Linked DNA regions of Lonchura striata. The protein of the gene in region 3 interacts with the protein of the main gene of each other region in a pairwise test. Links are inferred from orthologs where the notes say so. Each region holds a gene or a part of one and is shown on either strand. Other genes may lie near its edges.

Region 1 (7,935 bases), on a different chromosome or scaffold from region 3:
GGGTCTCCCGTGTCCTCCACATCCCCGCAGGTTTGACAAGATGGACATCAGCCCCAAGACATCCCTGCCCAGTGTCCCCTGAGTGTCCCCAGCGTCCCCTGTGTGCCCCCTGAGTGTCCCCTGAGTGTTCCCTGCGTCCCCCCTGCGTCCCCCCTGAGTGTCCCCTGAGTGTCCCCAGTGTCCCCAGTTTCGAGAAGCTGGACATCCCCCCTTGAGTGTCCTCCCTGAGTGTCCTCTGAGTGTCATCCCTGAGTGTCCCCTGTGTCCCCTGAGTGTGCCCTGAGTGTCCCTGTGTCCCCAGGTTTGAGAAGTTGGACATTCCCCCTGAGTGTCCCCTGAGTGTCCCCTGAGTGTCCCCAGTGTCCCCATGTGTCCCCAGTTTCGAGAAGCTGGACATCCCCCCTGAGTGTCCTCTGAGTGTCCCCTGAGTGTCCCCTGAGTGTCCCCTGTGTCCCTCTGAGTGTCCCTGTGTCCCCCTGAGTGTCCCCGTGTCCCCAGGTTCGAGAAGCTGGACATCCCCCCTGAGTGTCCCCTGAGTGTCCCCTGAGTGTCCCCTGAGTGTCCCCTGAGTGTCCCCTGTGTCCCTCTGAGTGTCCCTGTGTCCCCCTGAGTGTCCCCGTGTCCCCGTGTCCCCAGGTTCGAGAAGCTGGACATCCCCTCTGACTGTCCCCGTGTCCCCAGGTTCGAGAAGCTGGACATCCCCTCTGACTGTCCCCGTGTCCCCAGGTTCGAGAAGCTGGACATCACGCCCAAGAGCGCGCAGAAGCTGAAGCCGGTGCTGGAGAAGTGGCTGCGGGAGGCGGAGCAGCGGCAGCGCGAGGGGCAGCAGCACCTGCTGGAGTTCGTGGGCGGCGAGCCGGGCAAGAAGCGCAAGCGGCGCACGTCCTTCACGCCGCAGGCCCTGGAGGCGCTCAACGCGCACTTCGAGCGCAACGCGCTGCCCACGGGCGCCGAGATCACGCGCATCGCGCAGGAGCTGCGCTACGAGCGCGAGGTGGTGCGCGTCTGGTTCTGCAACCGCCGCCAGACGCTCAAGAACACCAGCAAGCTCAACGTCTTCCATGTGCCCTGACGGCCGCGCCCGGCACCTCCCAGTGCCCGGCCGGGAGCGCCCCTGTGCCCCCGGCCTCCGGCCACCGGCACTTCGGGCACCGGTTCTGTCCCTCTGCCACCTGGTTCTGTTCCCGTGACACCTGGTTCTGTTCCTCTGACACCTGGTTCTGTCCCTCTGCCACCTGGTTCTGTTCCTCTGCCACCTGGTTCTGTCCCGCTGACACCTGGTTCTGTCACCCCGACACCTGGTTCTGTCCCCCTGACACCTGGTTCTGTTCCTCTGACACCTGGTTCTGTCCCGCTGACACCTGGTTCTGTCCCCCTGACACCTGGTTCTGTCCTGCTGACACCTGGTTCTGTTCCCGTGACACCTGGTTCTGTTCCTCTGACACCTGGTTCTGTCCCCCTGACACCTGGTTCCACCAGCACACCTGTGCCTGTGCACACCACACCTGTACCAGTGTCCACCACAGCTGTACCTGTGTGCACCACACCTGTACCAGTGTCCACCACACCTGTACCAGTGTCCAGCACAGCTGTACCTGTGTGCACCACACCTGTACCAGTGTCCACCACACCCGTATCTGTGTCCACCACACCTCTGCCTGTGCGCACCACACCTGTACCTGTGTCCACCATGTCCATACCTGTGTCCACCATGCCCGTACGTGTGTCCAGCACACCTGTGCCTGTGTGCACAACACCTGTACCAGTGTCCACCACACCTGTACCAGTGTCCACCACAGCTGTACCTGTGTGCACCACACCTGTACCAGTGTCCACCATACCTGTACCAGTGTCCACCACACCTGTACCAGTGTCCACCACACCTGTGCCTGTGTCCAGCACCCCGGTACCTCTGTACAACACACCTGTGCCTGTGTGCACAACACCTATACTCGTGTCCACCATGCCCATACCTGTGTCCACCACACCTATACTCATGTCCACCACACCTGTATCTGGGCCCACCATGTCCGTACCTGTGTCCAGCACACCTGTACCTGTTTCCACCACCCCTGTACCTGTGTCCACCATGTCCGTATGTGTGTCCACCCTGTCCGTACCTGTGTCCAGCACACCTGTACCTGTGTCCACCACCCCTGTACCTGTGTCCACCATGTCCGTACGTGTGTCCACAATGTCTGTATGTGTGTCCACCATGTCCATACCTGTGTCCAGCACACCTGTACCTGTGTCCAGCACCCCTGTACTTGTGTCCAACATTCAATGTCTTCCACACATTCTCAACTGGGAGCACTGGGAACATCCCAGTTCCCGGTCACAGTCCCCCATGACCACCGGCCATCAGCACTTTGGCGACTGATTTTGTCCCTTTGGCCACTGATTTTTGTCCCTTTGGCCACTGATTTTGTTCCTTTGGCCACTGATTTTGTCCCTTTGGCCACTGATTTTTGTCCCTTTGGCCACTGATTTTGTTCCTTTGGCCACTGATTTTGTCCCTTTGGCCACCCTTTTGTCCCTCCAGCCCCGTGCCCCTACCTGTGCCCACCCCCGCTGCGCCCTTCAGCGCACTGAACTGGGAGCACTGGGAATCCCTCTGTGTGTCCCACCAGTCACAGCCCCTTGACCTCCAGCCATCAGCACTTTGGCCACTGATTTTGTCCCTTTGGCCACCCTTTTGTCCCTCTGCCCCCGCGCCTGTACCTGTGCCCACCTGTGCCTGTGTGTCCCCCGTTCCCTCCTGTCACACACGACCCGAGCGTGTTGGTGTCACCCCTCCCCACCTGTGACACAGGTGGTGACAGACCCCCCCGAGTGTCACACACCCACCCAAAATCAGCGAGTTACATTTTTCTGGGTTTTGCTCTTTTTGCTGTGTTACTGAGGCGATGTTACGGCTCACCGGGGCTGACCCCAAATTTATGTCACCCCACGCTGGTTTTGCGGGTCCCCCACCTCGTGAGGGGCTTCTGGGGGTGATCCCCCACCTTGGGGAGGTCCCGTGGGTGGATTTTGGGGACATCACCCCGGGCGTGGGGGGCGTGAACCCCAAAGCAGAGGCAGCGCCCCTTCCCCACCTCCCCCTGCCCGGAGCCCGGGGGGCTCCAGCCCCGCCGGGAGCGATGGGAGGGGAGCTCCGGGGGGGACACGGGGCCGCGGCAGACTGATGCACTTGATGTAGTGGTGTGAAATAAACTGTATTTTTCTTTTTTCTTTTCCTTTCCCCTTTTTTGTGGGGGGGTCCTTCCTCCCGCTCGGCCCTGCTCCGCGGCCGGCGCAGCGGCGGGAGCGGGAATCGAACCCGCGGGCCTAGGCAGGCGCCGCACACAGCCCAGCTCCGCCCGCCGCCGCGGCCACGCCCCCCAGCCAATCCCCGAGCGGCCTGCCAGGCGCGCAGCTCTCTATTGGTTACTTTTGCTGGCCGTCACGCGGCAACGCCAGGTCCCATTGGCTGAGCGGGGCCGAGGGGCGGGGCCACAGCCCAGCGGCGGGGGTGGGGCCTCCGCCTCCATCTTGGCGGAGCGGCGCGTTTGGGGTCCCGGCCCGGAGCGGGCGGGCCCGGACTGGATCGGGGGTCCCGGACTGGACTGGGGTCCCGGACTGGAGTGGGGGTCTCGGACTGGATTGGGGGTCCCGCCTGGATTGGGGGTCCCGGACTGGAGTGGGGGTCCCAGCCTGGACTGGGGGGTCCCGGCTCGAATTTGGGATCCTGGCCTGGATTGGGGCGATCCCCGCGGGCAGCCCTTGGAGGGCAGTGCAGGATTTTGGGGTCCCCTTGGGTGCAGCCTTTGGAGGGGACTGTAGGATTTTGGGGTCCCAGTTGGGTGCAGCCCTTGCAGGAGAGTGCAGGAATTTGGGGTCCCCTTGGGTGCAGCTCTTGGAGGGCAGTGCAGGATTTTGGGGTCCCCCTTGGGTGCAGCTCTTGCAGGAGAGTGCAGGAATTTGGGGTCCTCTTGGGTGCAGCCCTTGCAGGGGAGTGCAGGATTTTGGGGTCCTTTGGGTGCAGCCTTTGGAGGGGACTGTAGGATTTTGGGGTCCCCCTTTGTAGGATTTTGGGGTCCCCATTTGTAGGATTTTGGGGTCCCCCTTGGGTGCAGCCCTTGCAGGAGAGTGCAGGAATTTGGGGTCCCTTTGGGTGCAGCTCTTGGAGGGCAGTGCAGGATTTTGGGGTCCCCTTGGGTGCAGCCCTTGGAGGGGACTGTAGGATTTTGGGGTTCCCCGGTGCAGCCCTTGGAGGGCAGTGCAGGATTTTGGGGTTCCCCGGTGCAGCCCTCGGGGTCGGTCTGTAGAACTCGGGGCCCCCCGGCGGTGCTGCCTCTCAGGGGTTTTGGGGTTTGGGGGTCCCCCCGAGTGTTCCTTTTGAGGTGCTCCAAGGGCGGGGTGCAGCCTCGGGGGTGTCGCTGGGTTTTGGGGTTCATTTGCCTGTGGTAGTGGGGTTTGGGGGTACCCAGGTTGGTCACTGCAACAGAGGGTCCTCAAGAGGTTTGGGGGGCTCTGGTACCCCCAGAAATCAGGGAGGGGTGTTGGGGTGCCCCAGGGAGACCCTGGGTTGGGGGTGACTGAGGAGCCCTATTTTTGGGGTGACACTGAAGATATTGGCCCATCGGTTTGGGGGTGACCCCAGGGCCCCCTGGTTTTGGGGTGACCCCTGCAAGCCCCTTTTTGGGGTGACCCCAAGGACCCGCGTGTTTGGGGGTGCCCCAAACCCCCGCCTCTGCCGTGTTCCCAAGACACCCCCACCTCTGAGTAGCTCCAGACCCCCCATTTTTGGGGTGTCCCAAACACCCCCTGTTTTTGGAGTGACCACGACGGCCCCCTTTTCTGCGGGGTGACCCTGAGGACCCCCCGTGTCTGGGGGTGAGCCGGCAGCCGTTTTTGGGGTGCCGGGGCCATGGCGTGGGCGCTGAAGCTGCCGCTGGCGGACGAGGTGATCGAGTCGGGGCTGGTGCAGGATTTCGACGCCAGCCTCTCGGGCATCGGGCAGGAGCTGGGCGCCGGCGCCTACAGCATGAGGTACCGGGCACCCCGAAATGACAGGGCACCCCAAAACCGACGGGGCACCCCAAAACCGACGGGGCACCCCTGAACATCCCGGGGAAGGCAGGGGCCGTGCAGGGAGCGGGGAGCCCCAAAATGAGCTGGAGGTTGAAGGCGTCGGGCAGCACCTCAGCACCGGTACCCAAAGCAGGAAGGGACCCCGGAATCACCAGAGGCACCCCAAAATCTCTGTGGATCACCAGAACCCCCAAGGGAAACCCCAAAATCGCCAGGAGTCCCCAGAATCTCCAAGGGAAACCCCAAAGTCCCCAGGGGTCCCCAGAATCCTGCGGGTTCTCCAGGATCTTCATTAAGGGATCTCAAATCCCTGGTGGCGACTCCAGAATCTCAGGGGGGTCCCAAAATCTCTGGGGATCCCTGGAATCTCGGGGGGTCCCAAAATCTCCGGGGGTCCCTGGAATCTCGGGGGGTCCCAAAATCTCCGGGGGTCCCTGGAATCTCGGGGGGTCCCAAAATCTCCAGGGGTCCCCAGAATCTCTGGGGAGATCCCAAAATCTCCAGGGGTCCCTGGAATCTCGGGGGTGTCCCAAAATCTCCAGGGGTCCCTGGAATCTCACGGGGGTCCCAAAATCTCTGGGGGTCCCCAGAATGGCAGGGGGTGCCAGGGGCACGGGGAACCCTGAGCTGTGCCAAAGTTGGGGCATCAAGGGGGAAGTGGGGGCATTGGGGGGAATTGGGATTGGGATGGAGTTGGGATGGAGTTGGGATGGAGTTGGGATGGAATAGTGATGGAGTAGGGATGGAGTTGGGATGGAGTAGGGATGGAGTAGGGATGGAGTTGGGATGGAGTTGGGAAGGAGCTGGGATAGAGTAGGAATGGAGTTGGGATGGAGTAGGGATGGAGCTGGGATAGAGTAGGAATGGAGTTGGGATGGAGTTGGGAAGGAGCTGGGATAGAGTAGGAATGGAGTTGGGATGGAGTTGGGATGGAGTTGGGATGGAGCTGGGATGGAGTTGGGATGGAGTAGGGATGGAGTTGGGATGGAGTTGGGATGGAGTTGGGGGAGAGTTTAATTTGAATTACGGCTGAAGGAAAGCCCCGAGCTGCATTTGGGGCTGGGATGGATTCGAGAGGAGGGTGGGGTACAGCTGGGATGGATTTGGGATGGATTTGGGATGGATTTGGGATGGATTTGGGATGGATTCGGGATGGATTTGGGATACAGTAGGCATTGATTTGGGATGGATTCGGGATGCAGTAGGGATGGATTCGGGATGGATTTGGGATGGATTCGGGATGGATTCGGGGATTCAGGATGCTGTGAGGATAGATTTGGGATGGATTTGGGATGGATTCGGGATGCAGTAGGGATGGATTTGGGATGCAGTAGGGATGGATTCGGGATGGATTTGGGATGGATTCGGGATGGATTCGGGGATTCAGGATGCTGTGAGGATAGATTTGGGATGGATTTGGGATGCAGTAGGGATGGAATCGGAGTGCAGTTGGGCTGGAGCTCTGGCTGGAGTAGGGAAGGAGCAGGGCTGGAGTTAGAGCTGGAATTGTGGTTGTTGTAGTGCTGGGGTCAGGATTAGGGGTGCTGACAGGTGTATTCGGATGGCCACAGGTGTGTTTCAGGTGAGCACCTGAGGCCAGAGGTTCAGGGCACACCTGGATCCCTGGGCTCGGGCCGGCTCCAGAGGCAGGGCCGGGTTCCTGGGGGGCTCTTCCTCCAGGTGCCAAGGCCAGCTCGGGTTGATGGCACCCCTGACCGCCAGCTCACCTGTCTCAGGTGACTCCCAGGTGACTCCCAGGTGACTCAGGTGACTCTCTCCCCACCTGCAGCGATGTCCTGGCTCTGCCCATCTTCAAGCAGGAGGAGTCCAGCTTGCCCCCGGAGAGCCAGGACAAGCTGCTGCCCTTCCAGTACGTGCTGTGCGCCGCCACGTCGCCCGCCGTCAAGCTGCACGACGAGACCCTCACCTACCTGAACCAAGGTGAGCCGCACCTGTGCGCAGGTACCCCCGGGAGCAGCCGGCCGCAGCTCCTGCCGGCGGGAGCCGGCCTTTCCCGGGGTTGTTGCCGGCTCTTGGGAGGCGGCGCTGCCTGCACCTGCCTGTGCTCCGCCCAGGTGGAGCAGGAGTCACCTGGGCGCTTCACCGGGTTAAAGGGGGTGACAGGTGTGTGCAGGGTGATACGGGTAAGGTGTACCTGTGCAGGTGTGTGCAGAGGTGTGTGCAGGGTGATACGGGTAAGGTGTACCTGTGCAGGTGTGTGCAGAGGTGTGTGCAGGGTGATACGGGTAAGGTGTACCTGTACAGGTGTGTGCAGAGGTGTGTGCAGGGTGATAGGGGTGTGCGTAAGGTGTACCTGTGCAGGTGTGCGTAAGGTGTATCTGTTCAGGTGTGTGCAGAGGTGTACCAGTACAGGTGTGTGCAGAGGTGTGTGCAGGGTGAAACAGGTGTGCGTAAGGTGTATCTGTGCAGGTGTGTGCAGAGGTGTGTGCAGGGTGATATGGGTAAGGTGTACCTGTGCAGGTGTGTGCAGAGGTGTGTGCAGGGTGATACGGGTAAGGTGTACCTGTACAGGTGTGTGCAGAGGTGTGTGCAGGGTGATACGGGTAAGGTGTACCTGGACAGGTGTGTGCAGAGGTGTGTGCAGGGTGATATGGGTAAGGTGTACCTGTACAGGTGTGTGAAGAGGTGTGTGCAGGGTGATATGGGTAAGGTGTACCTGTACAGGTGTGTGAAGAGGTGTGTGCAGGGTGATAGGGGTGTGCGTAAGGTGTACCTGTGCAGGTGTGCGTAAGGTGTATCTGTTCAGGTGTGTGCAGAGGTGTACCAGTACAGGTGTGTGCAGAGGTGTGTGCAGGGTGATACGGGTGTGTGTAAGGTGTACCTGTGCAGGTGTGCATAAGG
Region 2 (7,440 bases), on a different chromosome or scaffold from region 3:
AGCTGCCTGTTGGAAATTAATTTTCCATTTATTACTTGGTATTCTAGAAGAGACACACCCTCAGTAATCTGTCTCAGTGCTTGTTCCATGTCTTTTCAGGCAAACCCAATTCCAGATAAATTGTACAGCTCCAGGTAAACTACAGACCAGGGATGGAGCTGACTCCTATTTGGCCCTGATGGCATGTTGGGAATGGGTTTTTTTTTGAAAAAATAACGCACAGAGAAATCCAGCATTGAAAAAAATGGACTTTGGGGACAGCGATAAAAAGACTTTTATTACAGAATCTTTTCTTTTTTTATTAGTAAAGCATACAAACTAGACAGGCCAAATACAGTATTAACTCACTCTTCAGATTTTTACCCACTGCTATTTACCATTATTTTGTTGTTGGGTCTTTTTTTTTTGTGAAAGTCACCATTAGAAAAACAAAATGTTTTTTGGGGAAAACACTTTTTGTTCCTCATACAGCTTCCCTTACTGCCTGAACCATATATGTTTTTATCCACAGTAAAATATTTTTAAAGATTAATTTGACATGTCTGATTATTCCTAAGGCAGCCTGTAATTTTCTTCACTACAAACACATTAATTTACTGAAGCAGTCACTGAACAACACAGTTGAATCTGGAATAGCTCCATAAACTCTACAACTATTTCTGGAGCACAACAGTTTGTTCTAAGCAGTTCTGGCAGAAACTGCAAGAGCTTGTAAGATGGTGCTACTCACTTGATTCAATAGCATCCAGCTTCTGGAATGTCCCCAGGATATCTCCATTTACTATTTTGGGTAAGAAATCCCGCAGTTGCATAACTTCAGTTGTCAGCCTTTCCAAATCCCTCCTTCTGACTTTTACGAATTCCTCTTTGGTCTCAGCCTTCTGAAATAAAACAACAAAGCAAAAAAAAAAAAACCAAACCAACAACCAACCAAAGACACAGCTGCAGTCCTGTATATACAGTCCTATGACATTATTTCAGCAATTTGTAACTTTTTATAGAGAATTATCCAGCAATCAACCCCAAAGTCTCTGAGGTTGACCCTTTGACTGTTATCTTCATTTTTGCCACTGTGGCCTTAAGTAAATAGCATTACCTCTCTTCATGTGTTTCTTCACCCAAAATGTGTAAAATACATTTGGGAATGCTGCAAAAATTAACACTCACATTTTAAAATGTGAGCAGCATGCACCAAGCTGTTGTTTCACGACTGTCGTAAAGGACACAATTACTCAGCTTTTTAATTAATTCAAACATTTGCAAGATCCTCAGTTCTAAATTACAACAACTCTCTTGGAAGAAACTGTACCGTTTTCAAACCAATTTATCTTTTGTGAAGAGCAAAAATTATTTGCAACCATCTGCAACTCAATCTCACATAAAAAATTTAATCCCAAGGTAAGACAGAAATGTTTACTAGCTTCCTCTTCTGCCAAACTATAGCTATAGAATAATTTTCATTCAACATTCCAGCAGAATATGTGTTAAATCTTAAAATTACAGAGCAATTTCTGTACAAAAAACCCCATAAAGTCCAATTTCTGATGTATACATGTGCACTCTGCTAGATGTTTAAAAGGCGGATACACACACACCAAACAAAAAAGAAAGTTTTAATGTATTTTGACTAAAACATCAATCACTCAATATGCTTCCAGAAAGCAAGGTTAAATCTTAGCAGCGCTTTGCACTGCACTGAGAACAGTGCTGACAAAATGAGATGCTTTATGTATCACATTCCAGAGGGAAAAGGCTAACAAACCTAAATCTCATCTCCTAGAGGTTCAAAATGTGCCATCCCTGCAGTCCTCTCACGAGTAGACACACAAGACAAATGGAAGTCATCCTCTCCAACCATTCCCTACAGTTCTTTCTGCTTTCCTACTTCCTCACATTGAACATTTCCTTTCAGTTTTGCTTCCTACTCTATTTCTTTCTCAGCTGTATTTCAAATCCAGAGAGTTCTGGGACAGATCAGTGCCACCACTGCAGGTTCAGAGCTGTAATGAAGGTAGGGAAGAAAAATTTTGCTTTAATTTGAACTGCAAGCTTTAAGCTGCATCGAGGAAGTGCTTATGGCAAGGTTCATAGGCTAACTAGCACTACATAATTACATGACTCTAGAAAAATTCCACCCATCTAGGTCTCAAAAAAGCATGGAGCAAACACATGGGAAGAGGAGTCTTTAGAGGAATGCCATCTGCGTGTCAGCAACCACGAATGACAGAGAGAATTCAGTATTACTCAGACTTACAGAGCAAAATTTCGTACATAAAAATAGCTCTGTTCACTAACAGCTGAATTCAAGTAAAACAGCCTGTGAATCACTGGTGTTGAAATATAAAATATGCGGTAAGGAGAAAATTCTCCTTTGTAGTTCCCACTGTAAGCACAAGTCTTTGCAGCGCTGCAGCTACAGCAGGCAAGTTTTATTTTCTCTGTTTAAGCAGCTTCTCCACATCTCTCTGCACTACAAGAGTATGTTAAAGGCAAATACAGGGGAGAACAGGAGTTTTCTGTCCAGGTAACGGCAGGTGCCAGGAAGTAGGAAATTCGAGTTCTTTCACAGGGGTGAAGTCACCCAGCAATGCACCTGAGCTCATGCCCTGCCCGGTGTGAGCCCAGGGACGGGAATCTCCCTCCCCTGCCACTCCAGGGGCCGAACAGGGCAGAGCTCCCCAGCACGGACTCCCTGCCAGCCTTTCCCCACTCACTCCCCACCAGCCCAGGGCGCCTGTGGCTCCCCAGCCCCACCACGCTGCCCTCTCCCTGCGGCCCCGCCGTCGCCTCCTCAGCGCCCCGTAAGGCCACCACACAGCCCCCGCTGCTTCTGCTGCTCGAGGCACCCGCAGGGACCTCCGGCCGGGCCCGGCCTCTGAGGCAGCCCCGGGCCGCTCGCGATACCTGCGCGTCGCCAGCGAGGCCGGCGCTGCGCCACATCGCGACAGCGGCGACAGCGGCGACAGCGAGCGGCGACAGCGGCGACAGCGAGCGGCGACAGCGGGGCAGCGTGAGGGAGCGGAGCGCGGCGGCCACGCCCCTGTGGCCACGCCCCCTGTGGCCGCGCCCGCTCCGATTGGCTAGTCCCGTGTGGGGGCGTGGTCTGGTACTCAGGCTCCGCCCCCAGCCCCGCCCGGAGCGGCCGCGGGATAACACCGGGATAAAACATCGGGATGACACTGGGACAACACCGCGATAACGCTGGGGTAGAGGTGGGATAACACCGGGAGAACAACCGTGACAATGCCGGGACTACACCGGGTTGTGGAGCTGCAGCCCGGCCGTGCCGTGGTGCCGCTGGAGGGTGCAGGGAGCGACAGCAAGTTGGGAGGGAGGATTGATCTGCTGGAGGGCAGAGAGCCTCTGCAGGGGGATCTGGGCAGGCTGGATGGAAGGACCGAGTGGTGGGAGGTTCAGCAAGGCCAACTGCCGGGTCCTGCACTTGGGTCACAACAAGCCCCTGCAGCTCCAGGCTGGGGAAAGAGAGTCTGGAAAGCTGCACGGAGGAAAAGGAGCTGGGGTGCTGGTCAGCAGAGGCCGAACATGAGCCAGGTGTGCCCAGGTGGCCAATAAGGCCAATGGCACCTGGCTTGTGTCAGCAATGGTGTGGCCAGCGGAACCAGGGCAATGATTGTGTAGGGCACATCTCAGGTGCTGTGTCCCGTTCTGGGTCCCTCCGTTCGGGAAGGACGCGGCACCACTGCCGTGGGTGATCGGCCACAGGCTGGACTCGATGACCTCAGAGTTCTTTTCCAGCCGTGATGATCTGCGGGCGCTGCGGGCGGTGGGGATCCCGCGGGTGCCTCCCGTGGGTGAGCCAGGTGCCGGCCAGCCCCGAACTCCGCGGCGCTGCCGTCCCTGCGCTCCGCCTTCCCCGCGGTGACGGCACAGCCCGGCGCCGCTGACGGCATCGGGCGGAGCGCGGCGCGGGCGGGCCGGGCCGGGACACGGACACGGGCCGGGACACGCAGGGACACGGGCAGGCCGGGCCATGGCTCCCGCGGCCGTGCAGCCGCCCGAGGTGCAGTTCGCGCAGCGCTTGGCCGCCAACGAGAAGCGCATCCGAGACCGCGCCCTCAAAAAGCTGCGGGGCTACATCGGCGTGCGGAGCCAGCGCCCCGGCGGTACGGACCGGACCGGGCCGGGGCGGCGGGCAGGGACCGGGGGAGGGACGGGGACGGGTCCCGGTGCCGGTGCCGTGGCGGGGGGAGCGGCGGCCCCGGCGGACGGACGGCACGGGGAGGGAAGGAAACAGCACGTGTGCGCCCTGAGCCCGGCACGCCTCCTCGGGCTTTTTTTTTTTTTTTTTTTTCTCTTTGTTGGGTTTTTTAGGGCTTTGTTGTTGTTTTTTTTTGACTTTACCAATTTTTCCCATTTTTGCCTTTTTTTTTTTTTTTTTTTTTTTTCGCCCTGTATACGCACGTGTTGCCCCGGTGCTGCCGCAAGCGCAGCCCCAGCAGCACCCGGGAGCCGAGGCGCTCTGGATCCTCGCTCGGGAAGTGTCTCCGGGCACTGGAGGAGCTCGGGAAGGATCAGCTTGGATCGAGGGAGGGTTTTGCTGGCAACATTAACAAATCCGGGATGGGAGCAGGGTGGCTCGTGTGCTCTCGTTCCCAAGGAACAGGGGTGTAAATGCACTGAAGTGATCCAGGCTGGAAACATCCCGGTATATGCTGCATAAAGTTTCATCTTCTGTTGTTTCTGTGAGCTGATGTCTGTCTGTTTCCGTGACTGATATTCAGGAGCATCGGAGGGAATCGAGGAAAGCTACATGCTTCAGCACTTGTGTAATTGCAGCTGGTTCTGTGTAACACATTTAGGTTACTTGTTACCTTCACTTCATGCTAACGAAAGCATTTTTCTTCGTTTTTCCAAAAATTCTACTTGGAGCTATATATTGGCACCTTAGAACTAAGAGTTCAGTGGTGTCCTTGGAGTCTGTTTGAGGCTGGCAAGGCCAGTCTGAAGGTCCGTGTACCTGAAAATGCCTCGGGTGCACAGTTTCCACATGGATGTGTATTATTCCTATACCTCATATTACATATAATGTAATGTATAATCTCTATTTTATGTTTCTTTTCTATAAAACATATATTTTATAAGCTGCATTCTACAGTATTCTATTACCATATATTCTAATTATTTATTATTGCATTTTACAAGTATATTTTATATATTAGTATATATTATATATGTATGGCTTTGGGGAACCAGCCTAGAGCTGGCCTCAGGAGCTAATCTGGAGTGCTGGCTGGACCTCCATGACTTCCTTGAAAAGACTGTAGAGAGAATATTGCTTCTTGTCTTTCCAAGTAGTATTTGACCCATTAGCCACATCTGACAGAGGGTAGGACACCTAGAACAGTCTTACAGGGTCAGGCCAGGGAGCCAAACAGGCATTATCCCATTCCTGGCAGTTAACATAGATTTAGGGATTTCCTGGGCACTAGGACAGTGTACATCATGTATCTCCCAAGAACATTCTATTTTTTAGCTCTGGAGACTTTCTAAGGGGGAACAGGTTCAGGCACTGCTTTAGAGCATCATGAAAGCATCACAGGGAAATTGCTCAGTTGGGCTGTGAACCTTTTGCATGTTACAATCAGCACACCATGGGATGCAAATGAGTAGGAAACAAGGGTGACTAATTTCCAGAGCTCTTAGATTTACTTGCTGTTAGGTGGTATTGAAACGAAGATTAAGTACTTCGGGCTTGGAGAAAAAGCATGTTCAGGAGAGAGGGTTTTTTTACAGTTAATTTATTAATTAGCAGTCTTGTACCCATCTCCAGTGTTCTGAGAGGGATTCACACATCAGGTAACCCAGGTAGGATGCCCTGACCTGAGGAGTTGAGAATGTGCTGACTTCTGGCAGAAGTGATGGAATTCACCTGATGTTCAGGGCTCTCAGGTGTTTATTAGGTGGACAGGACTGCTCTGTTGGTCTGTGCTAAGGCTGAGGGAGCTTCTTCACAGAGCCAGAGCTCTTAATTTTCAAGAAATTAAGCTCTGTGGAAGGCATTGAACTAACCAAATTAATTGAAGAAAGAACAGTAAACAGAAATAACTTCCAGTAAAAGAGGGCAGATTGCTGGGTGGGTTTCCTGTCTGACAGAGCTGTGCTGACTTGTGCCTGGATCTGTAAAGGATTTCTGTAATTTCCACTGAAATATCCCTGTGTGGATCTGGTCCATTGCAATTATCTAGAAAAGGAAAAATGGTAACAAATTCAATTATAACAGTGTCAAAGCAGCCAAACTCCCAGACAGAGAGGCTGACAAGGCTTGCAGTAAAGTAGCTCTGAGTGGTTGTAATGTGTTAATCCCAGCTCCCACAGTACACAGAACAGAGTTACTGTGCAGAGGGACAGTTGAAATTCAAGCCCTAAAGCCACAATCTTTCTCAGGATAGGTTCAAGGTATAGAAGGCCTTCAGTTCTGGGCACTGTGGTTGTTAATACAATGCATTCGGGTTTTAAAATAACTTTAATGGTTATTATTTGCCAGCTGTGGCTGGGGAACAGCACATAAAGCTGAACAGAAAACACTATATTGAAACTACTCTTTTGAGACATTAGGATAAGAAAATTGCTGTAATTTTTGGTCAGAGTCTTATGTCAAATTGGCACAGGACTGCCTAGGACGCTTTAAAAAGCCCTGTGTGTATGAAAAGCAACCTCATAAAAGTGTGTGTTTTCTTCCCTCAGAGCACAGGAACAGGCTGTTCAGGGCAGTGGTGGAGTTAATGTCCCTGGAGGGATTTAAAAGATGTGTAGATGTGGCACTTGGGGATAGGGTTTAGTGGTGGCCTTGGCAGTGATTATCTGAGAGGTCTTTTCCAACCTGAATAATTCTGTGATACAATTCTGGGAACTCCTGAGCCACATCTATAGGTAGCAGGTGATGCCTCTGTCTGATACTTCTGTAGGGTTCATGCTGCCAGTAAGGTTGAAACTGCTTCTTACCACTCAGTATGTCACATATAATTCAGTTAAGAAATGTTATTAATTTTAATATTTCAATAAATATTAATTCCGTTAATAAATTTGTTTCATATTTTATCGTAACAGTATTGTCAAATCTAAATTTAATGCTTAATATTACTGGACACATTGCTTCCTACATAGCATTTTGCCTATTTTCTCACTTCTTTTCTTTTCAACCAAGCAGGACTAATCTGTGTGCAGGTGTTTTTGTCCTTTGGTCCAAAGGAAGGTGCACAATTTAGATCTTGCACTGGGTTTCAGACTTTTTGACTTTTTTTGAGACAATGATCTTTTTGGAGCAAATTTGAGCTTACTGAAGATGATGACCTTTTCAAAGTGTTTTTTTTATGGGATTGCTTGGGAATATTTAATAGGCCATAGTTTGAAAATAACTGTAGTAGGTCATTGTAGCTGCCTTGTAACAATGTACTGTTAAAATTTTACTTCACATAAATT
Region 3 (7,565 bases):
ATCCATTCACCTTACACCTATGGGCACCAGGAATTTATTAATTTTTAACAGCTTTATTTCCTCTTTCCTGTTTCAAAGCCTGTAGTTTTACAGAGGTACTAAGGGCCTGTGTCTCATCCACAAATCCAAGCAGAAAACTTTAAATACACAAGACAAAGCATGCTGAGTATCACACAGCTGACAATACCCAGAACCAGCTGCTCACTGTTTGAAAACTCAGCTGCATATCCAAGCCCCTTGACTAGGCAAACTAAGTAATAAATTTCTCTGGTAGATTGATTCCTTCCTTTGGTTTTGAAACAGATTCATTAATTATTCTTTAAGATCCATAGGTCAAAACACACAAACCACTTCATTTCAAACCACCTAGCCTTTTTCATGCGCCAGCAGGAGCATCGCTATAATTACTATCTGGAAACTAAACTGGATTAAAGTTGCTTTTCCCCCACACTTTTCCTTTTTTCCTCCAGGTTGACTTTTACTCAGCTTGATTCCTCAGCCCAATTCCCTGTTTGGGTGACACTTGTGCTAGCAGAGAGAGAAGGCAATGCAGGGCAGCACTGCTGACTTCTGCCAGCTAAGCTGCTCGGGGAGCCACAGCTAAATGTCTCCTGGGACTACTTCTAATTCTAGCAGGGACAAATGCCACTGCTGCTCTTCAGCCTAGCATTACTCTCTGCAGGCTGGAGATGCAATTACAGCAACCGTGCTGGGGACACCTAAAACAGAACTCAAGGTTTGTTCTGTGAAAGATTAAGCCACCAACACCTGCTCAGTGCAAGCATAATTTGGATCCTGTCAAGTGACCTGAATACAAAAGGGTTTGAATCTTGACAGTTTTTGAAAATGTCCCTCCCGAGTGTAGCAATTACCTAAATTAGCAGCTCTTGAAGTGTGGTGTTCAAGCTACTGAGCATGGCTTGCAGAACTGGTCTCATTTTTACAGTGTCTTCAATTTAAAGCTGAGACATGCAAAATGCCACAGTGGTTGACAAGAAATGCTGTGAACTGAGATCAGCCTGATCCTATCAAAAATTCAAAAGCCACTTGTCTAAACCAAGATGAACTAATTCACTTCAAACAACCCAAAGAAAAAAAAACCTCAAACTGCACCACACACGTACCCCAGGAGGTGAGCACTCACAGCTCTGCCAGGAGCTGCAGCTGCTGTGCTCAGAGAATCCTCTGTTCACCCACACATCCTTCTTGACCAGGAAGATGAAGCTGCCTGGCTGTACACAGCAGAGTTTGCTCTCCAGCTACTTTCAGGCTTTTGGTAACAATTTCTGAGTCTAATCCAAGCTCTCCTGAGCAATAGGATAGGGCTGGCATATCAGTTTCTTGTTCCCTGCAGAAGGGCAATGAAACTTGTTTGTCTACTTAACCACTACTTGTTACCACTTGGGAAAAGCAACTTGTAGCAAGGAAACCACCACATCTGTCTACACATTGCCCAGCAAAAATACAGCCAAGACTTCTGCTTGTCCAAATATTTGTCTTCCTCTTCAGTCCACATACCAGTATCCCCCACTCAGACAGGAAGCACAAATAACTCCAAAATTAGTTTCTGAAAGCTTAGAACAGGTAATGAAAAAACAGATTTCTAGTAATATATAAGGTACAAAGTAAAATTCTGTATGAAAAGTCCACCTACAACTGAAGATAAGCAAGTAGGCTTATTTCCTTTCTCTCTCTCAATCTAAGGCTAATAATAGTCATATCATAATAATGTTTAAAAAAAAAATAATAATTCCTGGTCAGACTTAACTACAAGTTCAGGGTTTTGTGAAAAACCTGCAGGTACTTCTGCTTTTCCACAAAGGTTCACAGGATAACATGTCCTCTTTGATCAGTACCTGAGCTTTAAGAAGAAGCATTTTTCCCTCTTAAGTTTGAAAAAGACAAATCGGAACCCTTCTAGTGAGAACACTAAGAAGCAAGCAGCAGCTAAACTCTGAGGAAAGGCTAACAATAAACTCCTTTGCAATATAAGCAATCCATGCTCTACCAGGAAATTCAACAGGTAAACCCCCCTCCCCCATATACTAGAGGCTAAAACCAGGCATGTTATCTACTACAATTATTTAAGCCACATAAACACTCTCTCTACTTGTTTATTACGATAAGACCAAGTAGGAAACAGCCTGCACCAGGTGCTGCCCAGGAGGAGGTCTCGGGTGGGGGCAGAGCAGCTGCACAGCTCATCAGAGGCAGCGTCGGGCCGGGCCTCGCTGGCTTCGCCCTGGCGCACCAAAGCTCCAGGAGACGAGAAGCAGCCCCGACAACGCAAGAGAGCAGAATCACAGACTATGCTGAGTGGGAAGGGATCATCAGGATCACCGATTGCAACTCCTGGCCCCGCGCGAAATACCCCAGGAATCCCACCGTGCGCCTGAGAGCGCTGTCCGAGCAACACAACGCGTCTTTCCCACCGAACACCCGGGAGAACTTGGGAGAAGCTGCCTGCTGCCATCTCATCGCATGAGTCTGCAGGACGCGGCCCCGCGGGCGGCACGGGCAGGAGCGCCGGGAGCCGAGGCACGACCCGGCCGCGGCTCCGCCGGCCGCGGGCTGCACCCGGGAACGTTCCCGAGGGGAGCGGCGGGCGCGCCCTGCCCGGCCGGGCTGCCGGGACGGGGATCGCCCGCGGGACAGCCGGGCAGGGCGCCGGGGCACCGGGGCCCTGCGGGGGGCGGCACCGGCCCGCCCGGCCCCGTCCCGCTCGCCACCCGCGGAGCGCCGGGGCCGCCAAGGACGGCAGCGCTCCCGTCCCCGCCGCAACTTTGGGGCAACTTCTCCCCCCAGCCGCCCCTCGCCCCGGCCGTGTCGCTCACCCCCAGATGACATAGTTGGTCTTGACGTTCTTGGGCCAGGAGAACTCTCCGAAGATCACCTCGTCGCCCTTGACCACGATCTCCTTCTTCTGCGTGTTGTACTGCCGCAGCACGCTCAGCACGTCCGCCATCTTCGCCCGGCCGCCGCCGCTCCGGCCGCCGCCGCCCGCCGCAGGACCCCGCCGGCGCGCCCCGGGCTGCCCGCCGCGAATGCCTGAGCCGGCGCCGCCGCGCCGCCTACTTGAGGCGACGCCGGACTCGTTGCCATGGCAGCGGCGCGGGCCCGCCCCGCAGGGAGGGGCGGGGCCGGATGAGGCCACGCCCCTCTGCCCTCACGGCGGAGGCCACGCCCCCTCACGGCGGAGGCCACGCCCCTCTGCCCTCACGGTGGAGGCCACGCCCCTCTGCCCTCACGGTGGAGGCCACGCCCCCCGCCCTCACGGCGGCCCGGGCGGGGCGGGGCGGGGCGTGTGGGGGCGGCTTTGTCCGTCCTGGGCACACGGGGCTTTCTTGTGTCTTATGTGAAAATAGAGCTTCACACACAGTCACTGCCGAAGTCTATCGGCGCTGCTTCTCTTCTCTGGAGCTTTGGTGCTCCCGGCTGCGCCGCGCTCCCCGGGCGCGCTGGGATGGTTTTGGGCGGGGGTAACGAAGGGTTTTGGTGGTGCTGAAGGGGTTTTAGAGGGTGCTGGAAGGGGGTTGGTGGTGCTAACGGGGTTTTAGGAATGCTGGGAGGGATTCGTGGATGCTAAAGCACAACTAAAAGGAGCTTTGGGGATGTTGAGGTTTGAGGGGCGTTTGGGGATGCTAGGATAGCATGTGGTACACCGGGAGGAGTTTTAGCGGGGCTAAAGAGACTTGAGAGGGTGCTCAAAGGGATTTGAGGTGCTAATGGGGCTTTAGGGTGTGCTGGGAGGGGTCTGAGAGAGATAAAATGAGTTTGGAGGTGCTGAGGAGGTTTGAGGGGTGTTGGGGGAGCTGGGATGAGGTATGGTGTACTTGGAGGGGTTTTAGTGACACTAAAGAGGTTTTAAAGGGCCCTGGGAGGGGTTTGGGGGTGTTAAGGGGGTTTTATGTCATCACTCCCAGCCATGTGCCCAGCAGCCTGTGGTTGGTAAGGGCTGGGACAGCAGGGTCACAGGAATACCCCAAGAAAACAGTGTAAAAGGAGCAGAGGGAACAGCAGGAAGCAGTATCAATGAAGTTTATGCTGGACATCAGGAAAAGGCTCCTCACCCAGATGAGGGATGATGGGTTAGGCTCCCCAGGGCAGGTAATGGTCCCAGGCCTGCCGGAGTTCCAGAAGCTTTTAGGCAATGTTTTTAGACACATGCTGGAATTATTAGAGTGTCCTGTGCAGGGACAGGAGTTCAGCTCAATGATCCTTGTGGGTTCCTTCCAACCCAGGATATTCTGTGGCTGATTCTCTCAGACACTGTGCATGCATCTCGCTCTGCAGGCTGGAGAGAAAATCTCCTGGATATAAAGCTGGGTAAAAAAAAAAAAAAAAAGACTGAGAAGTCTCTGCTTTATCAATCACAAAAAAGTCCTTTAATTCTGATAGATATAAGCCGTCAAAAGGCCATAGCAAACAAAAGGTCATTAGGAAAATGTTGCCTGTAAATGTGAAGGACAAACAGTAATGCCATGGAGCACATCCCACATTACCCTGCAGAATCTGGGATCTCTGTTTGCTCACCTGAGCAACTGCACAGCTGCAGCTGGTATGTGCTCTCTCCATGCTCTCTCCATGTTCCAAGTTAATTTCTTCTGCTCAAACACACAAAAACTGGGAGCATAGCATTCCCAGAAGAACCAAACTGGTACCCCCTAGGGAATACTGATTGCAGGATCTGAGACCCCCAAACAAACTCTCATCATGACTTATTCTAACCTTTGATGCTCAGAATTTTTTTAACACTCTTCAACACTGGCAGAAAGCATGATACCGTCTTAGATTTGCAAAAGGCAGAATTGGTTAATTTTCATTCTTGTAAGTAACATGTGCTGAGACTGAGAAAACAGACCAAAAGCCAACAGCCTATAGAATTCCCTGTTTCAGTACATTAGTGATATCCCCATCTGTGTCAGAACAACAACATGCAGAGCACCACAAGTGTATTTAAAACATTTCAGATGTGGTATTGAAATAGTCTAGCACACAAATATGTACTACAACACCCAGTAACATGGTGAATTATACCAATCACTGCCAATGTTTATTTGTCAATGGGTATAGAGTAGTATTTGTGTGTTTAGAAGACAAAGGCATGATGAATAAACAATATCATTTCCTGAACTGGATTTGGAATTATTACTGGAACTACAGCTCATGAAAATTGGAACAGGGCTTGAAATGCTTCCCGCAGGCCAAGTCCCATTTCCATGCCTCATCCAAAAGGCCCAGTGTGTCCCTTAAACCAGTGCTACCTCCTCAGAAACACATCCTATACATCTGCTGCACTACAAGCAATACTTCTTTTCATGGGTTACAATGACCCAAAAAGCCCCTCATTTCAGTTCTGCCCAATCTGCTGCTCAGGGAGCAGGGAATGGTGCAGTGAACAGTCAGCTGCACACACAGCTACAAAGAGATTTACTTTCAGGTTTCCAGAAAACGTTGTGGTTCTGGTTTCCTTTTTCATTTAAGGCTGCCTTCACTGGGAGAACACTGAAAAAGAAAGCTGAGCAAGAAGGAGTCTGTGTGCTGGCAGTAGCTCAGGAGGGACAAGCTGCCTGCACCCTTAGGAGCAGCATCCCTGCAGGAGCCCGGCGTGCTGCTCTGGGAGCAGGGAACAAAGCAGGGAGCAGCAGGGAGAGAGTTGGTCTCGCCCTGCTGAAATCAATGCAGATAGGAAACAAAGGATGGAGTGGCACAGGGGTGCCGTGGTCATGCTCTGGCAGGAACAATGCAGGTAACAGGAACTAAGCCAAAGGAATGACCCAAGCCGTGCCCCAGCTTTGTGTCAATACCCCCCATATATGCTCATTACTAAAATCAAGCTCCACTTCAATGGCAAATTATGTCAGACATAACTTCACCTTCTCCTGCCACTCACTGAAAACAATATAAATACAGCTTTAGAGGTAAGGGAGGTCGGAGGAGACTCCATCTCTGTATCCTGGCACTGTCAGAGGGCTCTAGCTAGCTCCTCCCCACAGGGACACCTACTGGGTCAGACTCCAGCACTCGGCTATACCAGGTAAGCACCTCGGGAAATTCAGAAAGCCAGCCTGTGCTTGTGATCATACTCTTAGTGCTACACTGGCATCTCCCATCTGACTGTGCTTGTGGCTGGCTGTATGGTTCACATTCGTGGGCTCACACACACCTCTGCACACAGGGGACTCACCACGGGCTGGGCTGGGCTGGGAGGAACTCCAAAGGTCAGCTCTTTCCAGTGCCACACCACCTCTGCATGTCTGCTGCGGAACTGCCCACGGCTCAGAAGCTAAACCCAGCTGTCCCAGTCCCTCTGATATCTGAGGAACAGCTGGGATGCCAGGGGGGTGATTTTCTGCCAAATTTAATGCAAAAATATAGTGGGTTTACTCTTAACATGCCGCTTCAACTGGGAGTGTACAAAATAGTTCCCACAGTTTGCTTTGGGAATCATAGTGACACAATTAACCAGCATTTAAATCATTGAATCAGGATTTGATGTGAAACTATTTTCATGTGGCATTAGATACCTGAGAGTTTATCAGCTTTATCACAGAACATTGGGCTACAAAATCATTATCTGAAATGGGCAAGTAAGTTACCATTTAGAAAAATGAAAGTATATTACATGGATACAATGTTTCACTTGCATTTTCTCACTACTTTAACAGGTTACACTGATGTTTTGTAGGAAAGCAAAATTAAGTTGCAAAATATTAGACAAATTTACATCATAGGTAAGTTCATTTAAGATTAATCAACATCCAGAAAGATACATCATGCATGAGCACACACTCCCTTTTTTACAGACACATATGAGCAAAAACAAATCAGCACATGAGTGCATTTCCTTGCAGCATTTTTTAAAACATAGGGCTGAGCACTGAACTGTTGCTGTTCGCACTGAACAGTGATCCAGAGCACAATTTACTCTCAACACAGAGGGATTAGAAAAGTTTCTCCACTACTGAAATACTTGTACAGACCCCAGAGGGGCTGCTCAGAGGATATTCCACAGGAGTGCTCTGCCAGGGACACGTATTTGACCAGGCTCCACAGCAAGATATGTGGGGGTGAAATAACAGAATATTGTTGAATAGCTTCTACTGAGGAAATAAAAGGAAATAAAATACCCAACGCCTCCACATAAAGTAAGACCTCTCTTTTTTTTTTTTTTTCCATGAGCCACTAAAAACATTCCACACATTACATGATTAGCCAATTCCACTAACAAACTTCCCAGGTACCAAGAGCAGCTCTTCATCCCCCACCCATTATTTACTCCGTCCCCAACTCCTGTTTCACTGGTCAGTTTCTGACCGAGGAACTGCAAGGCAGGAAAGAAACGTGAGGAAGAACAGGCAACAGAAACGGGGACGGAGAAGACTTAAAGTAAGTTTGACACTGGACAAAGCAAAGGCAGCGCTGAAACCCTCACATCAGGAAGCCAGCCGGGCAGGAGGCCAAATCTGCCCAACTTCCCCACACCAGGAGCGGCTCCGCGGCCTCAGGGAAATCCAGCCCCTCTTCATGGCTCTCCCGACCCCATCCTGGGAAAGCCGCCCCAT

Evidence for each region. The genes of interacting proteins can lie anywhere in the genome.
Region 1: the proteins of CDC73 (region 3) and TFCP2 interact in binary tests that used the Homo sapiens proteins (3 or more experiments, as listed by UniProt). The two-hybrid records come from large-scale screens. The link is inferred for Lonchura striata from reciprocal best matches to the Homo sapiens genes CDC73 and TFCP2.
Region 2: the proteins of CDC73 (region 3) and HSF2BP interact in binary tests that used the Homo sapiens proteins (3 or more experiments, as listed by UniProt). The link is inferred for Lonchura striata from reciprocal best matches to the Homo sapiens genes CDC73 and HSF2BP.

What each region holds. Positions count from the first base shown.
Region 1 is NC_134629.1:5,118,927-5,126,861, forward strand, and holds the start of TFCP2 (alpha-globin transcription factor CP2), read left to right. Parts: upstream 1-4,909; coding exon 4,910-5,031; intron 5,032-6,862; coding exon 6,863-7,014; intron 7,015-7,935.
Region 2 is NC_134604.1:111,746,480-111,753,919, reverse strand, and holds the start of HSF2BP (heat shock factor 2-binding protein), read right to left. Parts: upstream 3,027-7,440; 5' UTR 2,941-3,026; coding exon 2,905-2,940; intron 882-2,904; coding exon 731-881; intron 1-730. Other genes in the region: RRP1B (ribosomal RNA processing protein 1 homolog B), read left to right, coding at 3,992-4,124. UniProt on the Homo sapiens protein: Meiotic recombination factor component of recombination bridges involved in meiotic double-strand break repair.
Region 3 is NC_134611.1:27,287,871-27,295,435, forward strand, and holds the start of CDC73 (parafibromin), read right to left. Parts: upstream 3,014-7,565; 5' UTR 2,966-3,013; coding exon 2,835-2,965; intron 1-2,834.